Linked DNA regions of Arabidopsis thaliana. The protein of the gene in region 1 interacts with the protein of each later gene in a pairwise test. Each region holds a gene or a part of one and is shown on either strand. Other genes may lie near its edges.

Region 1 (4,276 bases):
AGGATCTGGCAGAGGAAAGTGATGAAAGGATATTCAACCACTTCGAACAAGAACCATATCAATGTGAATACCCCCAAGATTGTTCCTGATTCTTTCTTGTTCTTCCAGAACATTATATCAGCAACTACAAGCATTTCAAGAGAAAAATCCTTTAGAAAAAGAACCAAAATTAATGTGAAAACGGAAAGAAAAATATATGTTACATCGTCCTCCTCCTAGATTGTGGTACAAAGATCTTCGTCGTCTCGATGAAGAAGCTCTATGTTCATCCATTTCATATCCAAAAACCGCCATTTTGTTTTGGTTTCAGGTTTTGAAACAACTGTGGCCTTTTTTGTGAGCTAAGGTCTAAGATTCATGGTTTATTATATAGTTCCGAACTTTTAGGATAAGAACGGTTTTGTTCTTGGATTCATAAAGAAGAAAGCGATTTGAGAAAAAACAGGAAAGGTATGGCTTTAGCATATTGCAAAAACTCATCATTTTATTGCTACATGAATAAATTAGTTTTATATCTTGTAGAGAATCTTTCTTAACTTGAGTTAATGATCAAAAATGTATTCCAAAAAGTTATCAACATTTTGATCATAGCTAAACCCTTTCCCATGCAAGTATATTCCAAGTTGAGGCTAGATATGTTAGGAATGCAATCATTGGGCCTCTTCGTAGGCCCAGTCCATTATGTGCCCATATTGTTTTCATGTCTAAACTTTTAGCAGATGATAACAATCTAGATGAGGTCAAGTGGGAAGCTAAGATGATGACTGAGCCAAACCAAATTTCTCATAGACATACATAAGCCAACATTATATCTGACGACACAAGTTTATATTGACAATTAACAAACAACTATTTTTTTTATAGTTTTACCCTGTTTTTAAAAGCATAGCCAACATAAGACCAAACAGAAACTGGTTTAGACCTTGTTAAACTCGGTGTTTTGTTGCTTTGGAGCATCTGAAGGAGTGGTCATACCAATGTTAATGCCATCGTTCTGATGCTTCTCCCATCCGCCAGTATCAGCCTTAGAATGAGCCAAGTAGTAAAGAATGGTTGCAATCAAAGACATGAGAGTGAAAGCAGCTCCAGCAGCAAAGACTCCAACGGGTAAGACGGCACACGAAAGCTCTTTCCCTTTGTAAATGCCTTCACTTTTAGTGTGGTACGCGTTCCTCGCTGATCCACCCAACAAGCACGCCTCAGCTCCTAAAAAGCTTACCCTAAAGATACACAAAACCAATGACTAAGACAAACGTACTCAAACATAGAGATGAACTAACTAGTTCTTATTCTTGTAAGGTCGTTTCTTTTCTTATAGAATCCACATAGTTTGGTAAGATAACAAACTGTAAAACCAAACATATAGAATATTCAATTGTGACCATGACGAAGCCTACCACTATCATTGTCTTTAGATAGAGACATCCACAACTCACAAGTAAGAGTTAAGGACGTAAATAAGAAGTCAAGTTTGCAACAAAGTGACTTATTAATCATAAATCACATAACCAAATTTCAATACCCACTAATCTAAAAGTGTTTACTTTTCATGTTCACAATACTGAAAAGAGTTGGAAAAAACTTTCCTTTTCACTTCAAAGTTAAAACCCATAAATATACACAATCAAATCACAAATTAGTTCATTCCAAATCTAACTTAAAAGCCCCTAATCAGAAATTTCAAATTTTGGTTACCAAATACCACTTAAATCAACTCAATTTCAAATCTTGATGTACAAAAGATTCAATTAGAGAGTAAAGGAATAAACTTTACCAAGAAACAACGAAGAAGACAATAGCCCAGACAGTGTAAGAAGTACCAGTAACAAGACCCTTTCCAAAACAGAGACACTTAGTAACACCGTTAACCACCGCTTGGCTAACAAGAAGCAACCCAAACGCCGACATACCGTACACTGTCGACGCCTCAGTTCCGTACTTACAAATAGTCTTCTCATCGTACTGATCCGGAACCGGCACAGCCTGAATAAACAAGAAAACACGAATTCACAACACAAATCGGAAAAATGACAAATTTTAGTAAGAGAGAGATAAATTGGGTACGGTGCTACGGCGACGCTCGGCACCGAAGGCGAAGACGAAAGCAAGGAGGTGAAGAGCAGTGACGACGGTGAGGATTGAAACTGAAACCGCCATTGATTTGGTTTTCGTGCTTCTTTCTCTCTTTACTCTTTTGTCTTTTATCTTCAGAGAGCTTTGGGCAAGTGAAGAAACGTTAAAGTGTCCTTATAACACTGATATTTGTTTTCTCTTTTTCTCTTTTTTTAGAATTTTGAACACTAATATTTATGACTTAATTGTCAAAGTGTCTCCATCTAATCATTATATCTGGTTACTCTTTTTTTATTTTTTGGATGTGGTTTACAAATGTTTAGTGGAGAAATTTTGAGAGATATTTGATTAAGAGTAAGTAATTAAATGGGTATATTTATACATATTGTAGCTTTAAGTGGTAGCACAACCACCAGCTCAAGCATCAGAACAACAAGAAATCGACTTTGCACGCTCCATCCTTTGCCTTCAAACCCCGAAATCATGATTAGATTTAGAAACATAGTTGGAAGACGACCTTGCTAAAAATCAAAGACTCAGTAATTTGTCATTAAATTACTACGACGTAACAAAAAATAATATGATGTCAATTGAGACAAAACATATCTTTTAATTTTAGAGAGCACATGAAGTCATGCCAATGCTTCTTTGACAGATATGATGCCTTGTTCGTGGTTATCTATAGTAAATAATATTTGTTGACAAAAATATATTTCAATGATAATAGTTATAATGACAATTGACTATAATTTTGGAAGTAAAGTAGTAAACTATTATTTAAAAAAAATAAAAAATTAGATTTAGGATCAATACTAGAGCATCTACTACTTGGTCATAAGTTTTATTAGAACTGATTTTAATAGAAATACTAACTTTGGTCAAATTAAAAGTGTTTGACTACATTTTAATTAAAGACTGAGAAACAAATTAACAAAAAAAGAAAACTTATGGTACGATTAAGAACCTGAAAAACTTTTAGAATCTCATACATATTGTTTATGATTAACATACATCTATATTTATGATATGAATATGCATTATACAAAAACATATTAAATTTATAAACTACTTTTAATCTTGTTGTTCTCCTTTTTCACCATTATTCATACATCTTTATTCATCTCTTCGTTAATCCAATCCATGCATTCACGATAATCATCAAAGTTATCGTCTATCTTCATATCATCACTTTGATTCACAGATTCTATATTATGATATTCGCATGACTCCATCATATTATTTTCCTCAGAAAAACCATTGTCTTCTAACCAAGAGAATATATCCTTCTCATTGGCATCAATGTCAAAAGAAATCAGATCTTCAATCGAAATATCGTAAAGAGCATCGTTCATCTCTTCCATATTGGTTTCCAAAGGAACCATATTATCCAAAGCATCGTAACTTGTTTCACAAGAAACCAAACTCTTTTGGATGGTATTGGTTTCGAGTGAAGTTATATCTTCAGGGAAAACCCAATCTAACGGATTTGAATAATTGGTTTCTAGAATGGCCATATTAGTTTTGGGAGGGATTTCACTATGTATTTCACAAGAAACAAAGCCCACATTATTTGTATTAGTTTCTTCTTGAGGGGGAATACTTCCTCCAGAATAACCCATGCCCATATGGTTTATATCTACTTCAGAGGGAATCATATTTTCAAAAGGAACATAACCTACTTGTGAAGAAACCCAACCTATCTCGTTTGTATGTTTTTCAGGAAAATTTATGTTCATGTTGGTTTCAGGAAGAACGTAATTTGCTGTTGAAGGATCCCAATCCATATGGTTCATATTGATATCATGGTGACTAAGGTTTTCTATAAATGAAACCCAATCCATCTTGTCTATATCGGTATCCAAAAGGTTCATGGTAGGGTTTGGAAGAAATCTATTGTTTTCCTTCATAAGGCACTCATCTACTAGAGGATCGAAAGAATCTAGTATAGAAGTAAAATCTAAATCTATTTGGTTTACATCAGTTTCAAGGATGGATCTATGTGGGTGACATTGATTAGGATCATACTGCGGAATAGAAATCCTTTCGGATTCCATCTGAGATGTGCATGTGTTAGATGCACCATCATTCGATGGTAAACCATAAAGGATAGGAGAATTTTCACTACTTAAGCCAGTTGAAACTAAACCAGTATAGCTAGAGCTATCGATACTAGAGCTATCGATAGAAAGAATATTGTAAGCTG
Region 2 (4,796 bases), on another chromosome or scaffold:
TATTCCAATTTCTAAATCAGGTAAGTTTCATAACTTTTCACTGCCTTGTGTGTTCAGATCTGTTTTTAGGTAGAACAATGTGTCTCAGAGCTACATTACTTTTTTAAAACTTAGCCAAAGTTAGTTCATACAAGCTGATTGACAACGTTGAAAATTCTCAATCAACAGTTTGTAGATATTAGCTAAAGAGACTGCTGTTATTGCTCTGTCTCCACTACAGTCATCAGTTCTTGTATTTATTGTTGGATTTTTTTGCTTGTTGCAGATTATCGAAGCGCTACCTAATGTTCCATCACCTGACCTGGCATTCCGGTTGTACTTGCAATGTGCTGAGGTAAAACTACGTACCTGTTTATTTAGTATGCACTTGCTCGGTAAAATGCTCACAGATCTTTCCTATTTCATCAGGCTGCGGATAAGTGTGATGAAGAACCAATTGCATACGAATTTTTCACCCAGGCATACATCTTATACGAAGAAGAAATTTCGGTTAGTTATGTTTTCGCGGACGTTCATATGTCTCGTGTCTAAACCAAAGCAAGTAGGTGAGTTTAACTCTCTCTCGTGCGTCAAAAACTTGCCTTTTGAACAGGACTCAAAGGCCCAGGTGACTGCGTTACAACTTATAATTGGAACTCTGCAGAGGATGCAAGTATTTGGTGTTGAGAATAGAGATACATTAACGCACAAGGCTACGGGGGTATTTCATCATGATATGATAATTAGTCTCTTACCATATTCAATTGTCTCTGCTTAAAGGCTGACAAGGGAAAACTTATACTCTTGCAGTATGCAGCGAAACTTCTAAAGAAACCTGATCAATGTCGAGCTGTTTATGCCTGTTCTCATTTGTTCTGGCTGGAAGATCGTGAGACCATACAAGATGGAGAAAGGTAATACTTTCTTCTGTGCGATAGAACACAGTGTGTTTAAAATAGCTCATTAGGTTTCTTACTTGAAATCAGGGTTCTACTTTGTCTGAAACGAGCGCTTAAAATTGCAAATTCGGCTCAACAAGTGGCCAACACAGCTCGGGGTAGTACAGGGTCTGTTACCCTCTTCATCGAGATACTAAACAAGTAAGCGCTTTTTATTGTTTGTTTTACTTCTCATTTTCCCAGATCAGCAAGCAGCATTATGTAATGTGAATTATGGCAGGTACCTCTATTTCTATGAGAAAGGGGTTCCACAGATAACAGTTGAATCAGTAGAAAGCCTGATAAAACTGATCAAGAACGAAGAATCGATGCCCTCTGATCCATCTGCTGAATCATTCTTTGCAACTACGCTTGAGTTCATGGAGTTCCAAAAGCAGAAAGAGGGTGCCATTGGTGAGAGATACCAGGCGATCAAAGTATAGAATCTCATGTTGGTCAAAAGAAGTCGGTTTGTTTTTATTAAAAAAAAAAAAAGCTTTGCTTTGAGTCGTTTGAGAATCGGAAAGGGACTGATATTGTGTTGCTTGCTGCTCGAAATGTAAACCCGGGTTTAGGTCTAGTTTTATTCCTCGGATTTTCAAGGCGGTTCATGGTCTGTAACTTGTGGAGTTTGATGTGTGTTTATACGAATCTTTAGTATTCTGAGTTTAACATTGGATATTACATATTAGATAATGTCCTTCATGAAAAAAGTATTCATTTTATGTATTCTGTTGAATGATTATTGACGCATAAAAACATTTTCAATACCATTGTATAACGCATAATTAACAACCTTTGTGAGGCTTCAGCCTTCAAATATATCAATAGAAATTCAGTTTACGAAATCAACTTAAAAAATTTTGAAAAAATAATAAAATTTAAAAAAAAAACAAATTGTAGGTTAAATTTTTTTAAAAACAAAATAAAACAGAAAAGAAACGAGAAAAAAAAAAAGCAAAACAATCGGAGAAAGTTGATGGAGGAGATTGTTCGTTTTGTGAACGCTTCAATGGCATAAATTTCCGGCCATCACATTTCTTCTACTTTCTCTTTCTCTCTCCCTTGTTGTTGTTCTCTAGAATTCGATTCATCGTTGTTAACGTCGTCCATTCTTCTTCTTTGATCCCTTCTTTGATCTCTCACATTTCCGATTCCAATTTAGGGTTTCCTCTCTTTTCACATTTCTAGGGTTTTTCTTGTTCCCTTTGTACCGGAGATGGTGAATTGAAAGGAAAAATAAAACGCTTTTGAGAGCTTATATTTGAGGTTGTTTCCTCAGGTTTTGTAGATCTGAGGTTGCTATTTTTGAATTAGAGATTCTTTTTTTTTTTTTTCAAAATTTTGTTTGTTGTGATCATACATAGACGTACGTAGCTCCATTTCTGGTGGAGAAGGAAGAAGAAGAGAAATGAGCGCTTCGAGGTTCATAAAGTGTGTCACCGTTGGCGACGGAGCTGTTGGTAAAACCTGTTTGCTGATTTCTTACACCAGCAACACTTTTCCTACGGTATAATGTTCCTTCCTTAGATTGAATCATATTCTGTGTTCTGTGAATTACAAGCTTCAAAATTGTCTTCTCTATTGATTGATGAGACCAAAGCTTGTGGCAATACATGAATCGATCCATAATTTTTTTTTGGTGTTATGAGGATTTGTGGAGCTTTGTATCTCATTGAATCTTGTAAATTCATGTGGAACAGGATTATGTACCGACTGTTTTCGATAACTTTAGCGCAAATGTGGTTGTTAATGGAGCCACTGTGAATCTTGGGCTATGGGATACCGCAGGTACTGACTAAATAATAGGGATCTTACTTAGTAGTAGCGGCAGCTATGGGATTTGGGGTCTGAAACTTTTGTTTTGTTGTTGTAAACAGGGCAGGAGGATTATAACAGATTAAGACCTTTGAGTTACCGCGGTGCTGATGTTTTCATCTTAGCATTCTCTCTTATCAGTAAGGCTAGTTATGAGAATGTCTCCAAGAAGGTACGTTTTTGAAATGAATGTTTGCTACAAGTTTTGATATGAATACTCTGAAGAAAGTCTTTTGGTTGTGATTTTTGCTGCTTTATCTTCGTTTTGCAGTGGATCCCAGAGCTGAAGCATTATGCCCCTGGTGTCCCTATAGTTCTTGTTGGAACCAAACTAGGTAAGCTCGTTTTTTGACATATATGTCTGCTAATTTGATTTGTTCACGTCCAAGATATATCCATGTAGTACCTTTTAGCTCTTTTGTGTCTAGCGGAAACTAGGCCTGGATTTTGGAGTATCACAAATCCTGAAATAATCTAGGTTTACAAGCTTGTCTGTGATGTTTCGTCATCATTTTTAATGAATTCCGCGATACGTTATGGATCATATCTCACATTTTCTCTTGATAGTTAACCTCCATTGTAAGAGACAACTACATGCATGTAAGCAGCTGTTGGATGTCTAGCAATTATAAACCTAATAGAAAAGGCTTATACAAGATGTTGTGCCAAAATTGGTGTAACGGATTCTGTTTCTTACTTTTAATACCAATGCTTAACTTTCGGCCTGCTGTCTGATCCGTCTAGACCTACTTTTAATAGTTATGAGTTTCGTCTGGTGCTTATGTTTTGTGTTTCATCATATATGCCAGATCTTCGGGATGACAAACAGTTCTTCATTGACCACCCTGGCGCTGTACCAATTACTACTGCTCAGGTAAACAGAATTTTTCTTTGAAATGTGTCAATTTACTTAGCCTGTTACTTAAACGAACCCTTTTAACCGTTCACCACTTTGGGCATCAAAGGGAGAGGAACTGAAGAAACTAATTGGAGCTCCCGCATACATCGAGTGCAGTTCAAAAACACAAGAGGCAAGACACAAAAACTTTCCCTTTTGTTTTGAGTACTACTCTGCTTCTTTACTTAGCTTTTCTCAAAGCTTTTTTTTAATGAAATTGCAGAACGTGAAAGGAGTATTTGATGCAGCGATCCGAGTGGTTCTTCAACCTCCAAAGCAGAAGAAAAAGAAAAGCAAAGCACAAAAAGCCTGCTCCATTTTGTAATTTCTCTACGCTTCTCTTACGTATCTCTCTCTGTCTCTCTGTCTCTTCCACTCTTCTAGTGAAGGCTTAAGAAGAAAACACATTGGGCTTAAAAATTGTTCCAGAGTTCGTTGTGATAAGCTCTCTTAATCCTTAAAAAAACGATTATTTCTGTTTATTGATGAATAGTTTCCAGCTTTAGCTGAGACCTAATATTGCACTTACCACTTCTCTATTCTTCCTTCGATTTCAATGACTAGTTGAAGAAAACAGAGATGATGGATTTTCCACTTCAACTTTACTTAAGTCTACTAATTTGAACATATTACTTGTTCTCATTCTTCCAATTCTAATTTAACAAATGGTGCAATTTGGTATATTTTATTGTCTTGAATACTTCATCCAAAAAATTGTGATGCATATAAGTCTTTAAAAGTTCTGAATGTTTCAGTATTGTGATACAAAAATCAGAATTTTGCATTCAACTATGCCAGTCATTACCTTCTTTAATATATTTTCTTATAAATAAACCTCTCAAACTCCACTTCTCATCCATCACACAATCCTCAAAACAAGAGAAACAAACCCAAAAACAGAGCAATCTCAAAAAGATGAAGCTGCTCTCTTCAGTCTTCACCATGCAACTAGCCAGCGCCTCCGTTCTTACCTCGTGTAGAACAACATATAAGTTCCAAAAAAAAATAGTCATGTTGCTAAACGATGCCATTTCACAACATGCACTTCATTTCGCTTTTGAAGTTTAACTGACTTGTGAAGAATTTGAACAAATGGCCCATTAGCTCAGTTGGTTAGAGCGTCGTGCTAATAACGCGAAGGTCGCAGGTTCGAAACCTGCATG

The links.
Region 2: the proteins of AT1G68220 (region 1) and ARAC1 interact in a protein complementation assay, tested with the Arabidopsis thaliana proteins (one large-scale study listed by BioGRID).

The regions. Positions count from the first base shown.
Region 1 is NC_003070.9:25,568,203-25,572,478, reverse strand, and holds AT1G68220 (aerobic coproporphyrinogen-III oxidase (DUF1218)), read right to left. Parts: upstream 2,388-4,276; 5' UTR 2,158-2,387; coding exon 2,065-2,157; intron 1,984-2,064; coding exon 1,775-1,983; intron 1,221-1,774; coding exon 917-1,220; 3' UTR 746-916; downstream 1-745. Other genes in the region: AT1G68230 (Reticulon family protein), read right to left, coding at 1-124, 204-294; APRR6 (pseudo-response regulator 6), read right to left, coding at 3,177-4,276.
Region 2 is NC_003071.7:7,737,985-7,742,780, forward strand, and holds ARAC1 (RAC-like 1), read left to right. Parts: upstream 1-1,802; 5' UTR 1,803-2,328; coding exon 2,329-2,427; intron 2,428-2,620; coding exon 2,621-2,708; intron 2,709-2,797; coding exon 2,798-2,907; intron 2,908-3,006; coding exon 3,007-3,070; intron 3,071-3,544; coding exon 3,545-3,609; intron 3,610-3,700; coding exon 3,701-3,766; intron 3,767-3,856; coding exon 3,857-3,958; 3' UTR 3,959-4,296; downstream 4,297-4,796. Other genes in the region: VPS35A (vacuolar protein sorting-associated 35A-like protein), read left to right, coding at 1-20, 266-334, 409-489, 593-700, 790-893, 966-1,079, 1,159-1,360. UniProt on the Arabidopsis thaliana protein: Inactive GDP-bound Rho GTPases reside in the cytosol, are found in a complex with Rho GDP-dissociation inhibitors (Rho GDIs), and are released from the GDI protein in order to translocate to membranes upon activation.